Sus scrofa: one gene and its partner. The protein of the gene in region 1 interacts with the protein of each later gene in a pairwise test. Links are inferred from orthologs where the notes say so. Each region holds a gene or a part of one and is shown in the gene's direction. Other genes may lie near its edges. The genes, in order: GPSM3 and GNAI3.

Region 1 (4,261 bases):
ATAAAGCTGATTTGAAGTCTTACCTTTTTTGGAGGGGTTGTGGAGTGGAAAAAATATGGATTGACTGCATAAACTTGTCAGAATTTTGTGTCCTGGGTTCAACATTTGGATGGATGCTTTGAGTCCAGTTTTAAGAGCAAGAATCAATAGATTGGGGGGTCTTACTTTAATTTAAGGTATTGTCTAAAGGGAAGAGTCTCTAGGAACCCAGGGAGAAACCACACACACACTAAATCACGCCTACCCTTTGTCCCTCTTCCAAGGGCTTTTTGTTACAGGCATTTAGGAGATTCCTGAGGCCTCAAGTAGAGGGAGATGGAGAGAGCATCTCAAACTTTAACCACCAATCAGCAATACAGTTAATTATATCTCTTTTTTTCTTTTTTTTTAGGGCCTTCCCCATGGCATATGGAGGTTCCTGGCTAGGCGTCGAATCAGAGCTGTAGCCACTGGCCTACGCCAGAGCCACAGCAACGCGGGATCCGAGCCGCATCTGCACCTACATGACAGCTCATAGCAACACCAGACCCTTAACCCACTGAGCGAGGCCAAGGATCAAACCTGCGTCCTCATGGATACTAGTCAGATTCATTACCCGCTGAGCCATGACAGGAACTCCTAGTTATACCTCTTTCAAGGCAATGGACCTGAGACACAGAGGCATGAAGCATTTTTAAGGCTAATAATAACTACCATTTATTAAGCATTCACAATGTGCCAAATGCTTTATCACATTGAATCCTCATATCAACTCTATTTTTAAAAAACTCCAGAGTTCCCACTGTGGTGCAGCAGGTTAAGGATCCAGCGTTGCCTCCGTGGCAGTGTAGGTTCAATCCCCAGCCCAGCACAGCAGGCAAAGGACCCAGCGTTGCCTGGATTCCATCCTTGGCCTGGCAACTTCCACATGCGCACGTGAGGCCAAAAAGGAAAAACAAAAACGAAAACCTCCATTTTAATCTTTCAGAAACTGAGGCACAGATTTTATTTGCCCAAGATTGGAAGGCATTAAGTGGCAAAACTTGATCTTGTCATCATATTTCATGCTTAAAGTCACTCAGTTCATAGGACAGGTTGCTATTTGGAGGTCCCAAATGTCTCTGCTGTCCTGTTCCCACCTCGGCATCAGCCAATCTGACCAGCATCGAATAAAGAGAGACCAAGCCAGGTTTAATCCTCTCCCTTTCCTATTTCATGACTAGAGGGAAGCTTCCCCTGCCCCCTTGTCTCTTACGTGTGCTGCATATTTTGTCCCCTGAATAGACCGCAAGTACCCATAGGGCAATGATAACTATTCTACACATTTATTAGACACAGTGCTAGGAGGATATGTATATGTTTGAGAGCCTGACATCCCTGGATCTGAGTCTTCTGCTTCCCCCTGGAACCATGCTCCTCCCAGTCCCAGTAAGTCTGACAGAGGCTGAGGAAGAGGGTCCTTCTTGGGGAAGATACCTGGGGCAATGAATGGGGGGGGGGGTTGGGGGGGTTCTGAGGAGTGAAACCACTTCCTTTGTAGCTAGTTCCTGTGTTGACAGAACTGCAGGGGAGGAGGGGGGGTGGAGGGAACAGAGTTGGGGGGTTAGGGGGCTACTGAGGCTCTGGAGATGAGAATGCCAAAAGTCCTTCCCCACCCTGAACCTCCACCACTGCAGCAGCTGGAGGAGCTTTTCCCAGTCTCTGTGCTCCCCTGAGGCAAGCGAGGTCTAGCAAGCAGCTTGGGTGGGAAAAGAGAACTGGAGGAAGTTGACAGGGATGGGCGGGGCCGGTGGGGGGGCTGACCAGGAACCCAGCTTCCTGCTCAGTACCCAGGCATCCAGCCCCCGGCTCACCCCCACCCCTTTCAGCCCCTACTCCCCTCAGGACCTCAGGGTTCCGGCCCTCCTCCCAAATCCCACCCCCCCATCGGCTTCTCCCCTCCAGGGGATGGAGGCTGAGAGACCCCAGGAAGAAGAGAATGGTGAGCAGGTGAGCTGAGTACTGGGTCGGGGAGGCTGACACTGCGAGAGGGAGGTGAGAAGACCTGAGAAAGAGACTGAGTCATGGTGGACTCCGGGGACGCGGAGGGGCTTGGGCACACTGAGGCAGAAACAGACACAGAGAGAGGAAATGGGCTACTCGCCTAGCCCTCTGCCCACCCCACCCCTGCCTGACTGGCTGGAACCGCTGTCTCTCAGCATCAGGACCCCGATCAGGATGAGCATGGCTGGCCCCCTGTGAACACCAGCACTCGGCCTTGGCGATCTGCTCCTCCGTCCCCTCCTCCTTCAGGGACCCGCCACACAGGTACCCCCACCCACCCAGGGAACTCCCTGACCCTGGTGCCCACATCCTCCCTGATCCCGTTACCAAGCCCCACTCCATCACGGGCTCCTTCCCCACCTCCTCCAGACTCCCCATCACACCCCTGAGCCCTGATCCCAAGTCCCTCAACACCTTACCCTGCACCCCCCCACACACACACACCCCACTCCTGACTGCCAGCTTCTCTGGGTCTCTGAGCCCTCCCCCTCCTCTCCCAGCCGTGGGGCCCCGTTCGGCCTCCCTTCTCTCCCTGCAGACTGAGCTGCTCCTGGACCTGGTGGCTGAAGCCCAGTCCCGCCGCCTAGAAGAACAGAGGGCCACCTTCCATGCCCCCCAGAAGCTCCCAAGCCTAGGCCGAGTCCCACCCCGGCCTCTTGAGGACAGAGAACAGCTCTACAGCACTATCCTCAGTCACCAGGTGAGTCACCCCACTGCCTGCCCCCCCAGGAGACAAGGCCCAGGCTTCTTGGTCTCTTGGTCCCTGTTCTCTTTGGGGCCCCACCCCTCCTTCTCCCCAGGCACCTGCCCTAGTCCCCCATCCCCATCACACATGTCCTATATGCCCCTCACACCAGCCTGGCTCCTTTCAAGGCCTGCTCCTCTTAGAACCTTACCAACAACCTTCCCTGCCTCTCCTCCTCCAGTGCCAGCGGATGGAAGCCCAGCGGTCAGAGCCTCCCCTACCCCCAGGGGGGCAGGAGCTCCTGGAGTTGCTGCTGAGAGTTCAGGGTGGAGGTCGAATGGAGGAGCAAAGGTCCCAGCCCCCCACACACACCTGCTAAGACTTGAGCTCCCACCAGCCCTTCTGCACTCCCGGGGTTCAAAGCTGGGCGGCCCACTGCAGGCCTTGAGCCCTGCCCCGCAGGGGCACCAGAGACTGGAAGAACCAGCAGAATTCTCAATATTCACTGCCCTCATCCACCTTTCCTGGGAACTAGAGGGGGTGAAAGTCCTCAAACCCTGGGAATTGTCAAGGTAGGATGGATATTTAACTCCCCCTGTGACCAAGTAGGTGGGAGCTTGAGGCCGGGAGAGGATCCTAGGTACAGAGGGACACCTCACCCTTTCCTCTGATCTCAGGGAGGGCCTGGAGTCTTGGTCCTGAGCTGTGGGGACACCCTCCCCCCATAGTCTGGCCACCAGGTGGGAGCTGAGGGCTCAGGCCTCCACCTCCCAAGGAGGCAAATCTCCGGAGGTTCTGACCTGAGAGACAGTTCCACCCTTCTTCCCAACAAGAAGGGAGGAGAGGGCACAGCAGAGACATTGACTCTTCTCCCACCCCCCCACCCCCCCACCCTGGCACATCGCCCCCCCAGCCCCAGAACTGAGGGGCCTACAGCCTGTGGATGGACATTGAGCCCTGCCCACCCTCCCTCCCCACTGCTGTTCTGAACTGTCTGATGTTTGGTTATGTGAATAAATATAATTCCCCTCTGGACTGAAGACTGGTGTCTGGGTGGCAGGGTGGAGGGTAGGAAGGTGAGGCCAGAGGCCGCCACTCTCTCCAGTCTGGCCAGAGGCCAGCTCCCCTCCCTGGCTGGTTAATTACTGGCTCATTAAGCAGCGGCTAGAGACCTTCCTAATTATCCCCCCCAGCCCCCCTCTCCTGGTTTTAATTAAGTAGAACAGGGAGGGGAGTCATTAGGAGAAGAAATATGAACTAAGCTGTCTGTGAACCCAGGCATTCCCGCGGCCGGAGTCCACATCAGCTAGAACCCGGATTCAGAACCCCGGCGGCAGGTGCCCCCAGCCCCCAACACGGCGCCCTCCCAAGCCACAGAGGTCCATCCCTGGGGCCTTCCCTTCTTTTCCCCAAGGGCCAGTCTCCTCCCCTCGTCCCCTCCTCCACTTGGTCTCAGTTCCTCTGTTTCTGTGTCTCTCTCCGCCCCCAGCTCCTCCCTGTTCCTCCTCTCTTCTCCCCTCCTCTTCCTCCCCAGCTCCCCTCCCCCAGCCTCCT
Region 2 (4,398 bases), on another chromosome or scaffold:
TTTCTTCCCTTTACTTTGGCCCTTTTTCCCCTAAAGTGTTGAATATGGAAACGCAGTCCCTTTTATTCTAGCAGTCACTTAGAAAAGAGTAGGAGACTTAGAACTTGGAAGATCTGTTCTTGATGTATGATGGTAGATGAGGCTGTTTAGGTTGGCTCTCAAGAAATCCCTCTGAGGGTCAACAGTCACTATATAGACCTTTCTGTTGGGACCTAATATTCTAAGGTTTAGATTCTATTAAGGAAATAGTTTTTAATTTCAGGGAAAGACTTGGAGGCTACAAGAATTCCTCTCCCTAGACTATACGGTGAGAGAATTTGCAGGCTATTTGGAAATGAAGGTAATTAAGGGACACTTTCACTGTAGTATCCAGGATTATGGATAAAAAGTCTGGGGCTTTCACAGGGGATTTATCAACTTTCAGGTGATGCTATAGCCGAGAGACAAATTTTACTAGAACTTCGCTTTTCTTGTGTTACCACAACAGGAAGTTTTAGGAGATTTATAGGATGTACTGGTTTTGGGTGTGGGACTTTGATTGACTAATCTTGGTAGACGTCCTAACCCCTAATGCAGGACGATCTGTGAGCGCTAACACTGGCTTGCCTTGGGGAAAGGTAACGCGGGAATTTTCTGGAGCAACTACACTCTTTATCTTTCAGGTAATTTAAGATCTGTTAGCGATTTCACGTGGCCCTTTGCCAACATAGTAGCTGGGCAACTCTCAAGCCCACAGGGTACAGCTAAGAGAAGGAGGCGGTGGGCCAGAGGGCAGAAAGGGATCCATGAAGTCCCAACCATGGCCGATCTTACTTATTTCAGATGTGGAGCGTGGCCAGGGTCCAGACATAATTCTCACCCTAGCGATCTGGCTGAGACAACCCTGGCAGAGAAAGTGTTCTACACTTGGGCAGGGGCCCCAGATCGTCACAGCCAGAGTTCAGATGGGCTTTCTGGCCAGTGAGAAATTCCCAGCAGAAATTCCCGTGCGGGCTGTGGGCAATTATTTGGGAAGTCCCACCCCCCCAAGCCAATCTGAAGCTGGCTATGTGACCTCGGGAGGATGCCTTGAGCTGGAGCAACCAGTCCCTGGCTTTTCTGCATTTATCCAAACAAGGCAGCCGAAAAAAAAGGTGAAAGGGGACTAAGGTCGAGCGGAGCCCGGGGGAGCTCGAGAGAGCCTCCCCACTTCACCAGAATCGCCGACCGCCCTCCCAACCCTCTCTCTGTACTTCCGCTTTCGGTTGTGCCTCCCCTACCCCAGCCAGAAAGGTCCGCGCAGCAACGGCGCGGGGCGTCGCCGGAAGTGTCGTGAAACTCCGGATATCCGGTTCCTTCGGGCGCTCCGGGGGCTGACGGAGAGGGCCGCCGCCCAGCAGTAGACGCTGTCTCAGCCGGCCGAGCCGCAGTCTCCGCGGTGTGTTAAGTGAGCCCCGGCCCGGTCCCCACTCCCGCCGCCGCCATGGGCTGCACGTTGAGCGCCGAAGACAAGGCGGCGGTGGAACGGAGCAAGATGATCGACCGCAACTTGCGGGAGGATGGGGAGAAAGCGGCGAAAGAAGTGAAGCTGCTGCTACTTGGTGAGGAGCTGGGGGCGGGGCTGGCGGAGGTTTCGGGAGGGCCCAGGCACTCGGGAGCCCTGAGCCGGGAGCCCTGAGCCGGGGTCAGACCGGGCCCTCGGAAAGGACCCCGAAGGGTCTGGAGGCAGTGACGGGCTCAAGGCGGGGTGTGGGGCTGGTGGCTGAGGCCTCGGGCGGGCTTGATGAGAGGTGGGGTTTTGAGGTGTTTGAAATTAGGCGAGAGGGTGCGACTCCATGCTGTAATTGCGTTTAGCGGAGAGAGCTTGGGAATATGGTCCAGTAGGACATTGAGACTTTATTAGGAATATGGGAAGAGCTCAGATTAGGGAAGGTTTTGCAAGTGAGGGGTTGGAATGAGTTGGTAGCAAGGAGGGTGGGAGAGGGTGTTGGGCTTGTATAATGGCTTGCGAGTGTGCATGCAGCATGGTGATACTTTGTGACAGGATAGAGCTGGGAGGCTTGAGTGGTTAATAGAAATAGAGGGGCCGAGACAGCGGTTCCGGAGGACCTTGCCATTTATTAGAGTGGGCATTTTGAACTGTCTGGAAGGCGAAGGAACCCCGGGTTATCCAGGAACACGAAGATGTGTAGTTGAGGTAAATGACAGGTTCTAGGGTATAAAGGAAAAGAATTCGGGTGCAGAGGCTGTGTGTACTTATCCACCTTTTTCTGTGATATTTATTCTCTTAAGGTTTTATAACTCCTTGCCTTGTTTTCATAAGGGGGAGGTGGTGTGAGCTGAGGAAATTTATGTCCTGGTTTGTTTGAGGTTTGTGGCATAAGATGTAATGGTGTCAATAGATTACACAGTGGAAGTTTCTGAATAGTTACTAAGAATGATGGGCAGTGGGAATGCAGTTATCTAAAAATAAATTGTGGAATTGGACATACTTACTGTTAAAAGTGTGACAGCGACAGACCTGTACTTTTTTTGTTTTTTTCAAACTAAAAATAATTGGCTTCAGAAGTTCCCGCCATAGCGCAGTGGAAAGGAATCCGACTAGGAACCATAAGGTTGTGGGTTCGATCCCTGGCCTTGCTCAGTGGGTTAAGGATCTGGTGTTGCTGTGGCTCTGGCCGTAGGCCAGTAGCAACAGCTTGGATTGGACCCCTAGCCTGGGAACCTCCATATGCCGCAGGTCTGGCCCTAAAAAGATAAAAATTTTAAAAACATAAAAATATTGGCTTCAGGAATTACTGTTTATTTTAGTTGACATTCGTTTTAAGCAGCTTTTACAGTCAGATGCATTTTACTCAGCATGATTTGTTTTAGAATTTTGAGACACTGATTTCTAGAGGCTCAGTGAATCAGATAAAGTACCCTAGCATCAGCTTACCAATAAATCAAGCCACATTTCTTCACTGTTAGTGTTTTCTAGGGATCCGTTAGGGAAGAACAAGTGGGAGTAACAATTTCTGTAAGCAGTATCACTTTACTTTTTGAAACAATTGATTTTTGAGAAAAAGAGGTTGATTTAGGAGAAGTGCTAAGTTTTTATAATATAAAGCTCCAGAGGATAGAATGCACCACCATAACCCGAGGTTTGTTTTGGGCGCCCATGCTCGTCTCTTCATGTTAACATGTTTGATGGTTTGTAGATTGCAGAAACCCTGGTAACAGCTTTTTGAATAAAGAGGGAAAGTTAGGCATTGGAGCTTGAGCTTTCAGTTTGAATACCAAGCCTATAGAATGTATGAATTCAAATTGAAGTTCCAGTCTGCCACTCTCTATTAACAGCATTTGTGAATGAGTGGGGTCGCTGGTATGTAGTGGGTGCTTTTAAAATACATACTGTTAACCAGCTAATGTTGGACATTGCTCCTTGGGGCTTTTCAGATGTTTGATATAAACCATAATACTTAAGACGTTGGGGTTGTCTCTATTGACTGATTGGTTATGAAAGTAAAGGTAAACTGTGAGTCTTTCTTTCAAATGACAGGATTTGGCAGGCAGAACTTAGGCAAGCAGAACTTGTTCAAATGTCTAGAAAAATCTTTATTCAAGACTTCATAAATAGTACATTTAATTAAAAACAAAATTAAACAGATGATCACTTAGGGAACTTCAAAAGCAGTAAGTAAAATTAAAGTATTAAAGCATTTGCTTTTACTTTATTTTTTTTTTTGTCTTTTTGCCTTTTCTAGGGCTGCTCCTTCAGCATATGGAAGTTCCCAGGCTAGGGGTCTAATTGGAGCTGTAGCCGCCCGCCTACGCCAGAGCTGCAGCAACACCAGATCCGAGCCGCGTCTACAACCCACACCACAGTTCACAGCAACCCACTGAGCAAGGCCAGGGATCCAGCCCGCAGCCTCATGGCTCCTAGTCAGATTCGTTAACCACTAAGCCATGACGGGAACTCATGCTTTTACTTTTTATCAATTTTATTGTTTTAAGTAAGAGTTTAAAAATATTCTTGAGCAAGTTAAATCAACAGATTCAAATAGGTTACAGAGACAGATGCTCTTGCTTGAACCATAACATAACCCACCTGTGAAATTAAATATCTTCCTTGCTATTTCTGTAAGCATGATGCACCCATCACAGCGTACAAATAATTTTCTTTTTGCTGTAGAATAACTCCTTTGATGTACATGCAAGTCATTTTTATTTCAACACGGCAAGACTGTTAAACTTAGTCTAAGTTGAAATCTGTTTACATACTCTTGTCTCTCCTGGCACATAATAGGTGTTCGTTAAAGATGACTGTCTTTTCCTTCCTTGCTGGGAAGCGGTTTAGGGTAGTGATTAATAAATAACATGGGGTCTGAAGTTAGACTGTTTCAAGTGGTAATTTCCACTTACCAGCTATAACTTTGG

What was found.
Region 2: the proteins of GPSM3 (region 1) and GNAI3 interact in binary tests that used the Homo sapiens proteins (3 or more experiments, as listed by UniProt). The two-hybrid records come from large-scale screens. The link is inferred for Sus scrofa from reciprocal best matches to the Homo sapiens genes GPSM3 and GNAI3.

Annotation. Positions count from the first base shown.
Region 1 is NC_010449.5:24,227,054-24,231,314, reverse strand, and holds GPSM3 (G-protein-signaling modulator 3), read left to right. Parts: upstream 1-1,538; 5' UTR 1,539-1,755; coding exon of another isoform or gene 1,756-1,926; coding exon 1,927-1,968; intron 1,969-2,177; coding exon of another isoform or gene 2,178-2,183; coding exon 2,184-2,286; intron 2,287-2,522; coding exon 2,523-2,722; intron 2,723-2,948; coding exon 2,949-3,086; 3' UTR 3,087-3,742; downstream 3,743-4,261. UniProt on the Homo sapiens protein: Interacts with subunit of G(i) alpha proteins and regulates the activation of G(i) alpha proteins.
Region 2 is NC_010446.5:110,575,977-110,580,374, reverse strand, and holds the start of GNAI3 (guanine nucleotide-binding protein G(k) subunit alpha), read left to right. Parts: upstream 1-1,462; coding exon 1,463-1,580; intron 1,581-4,398. UniProt on the Homo sapiens protein: Heterotrimeric guanine nucleotide-binding proteins (G proteins) function as transducers downstream of G protein-coupled receptors (GPCRs) in numerous signaling cascades.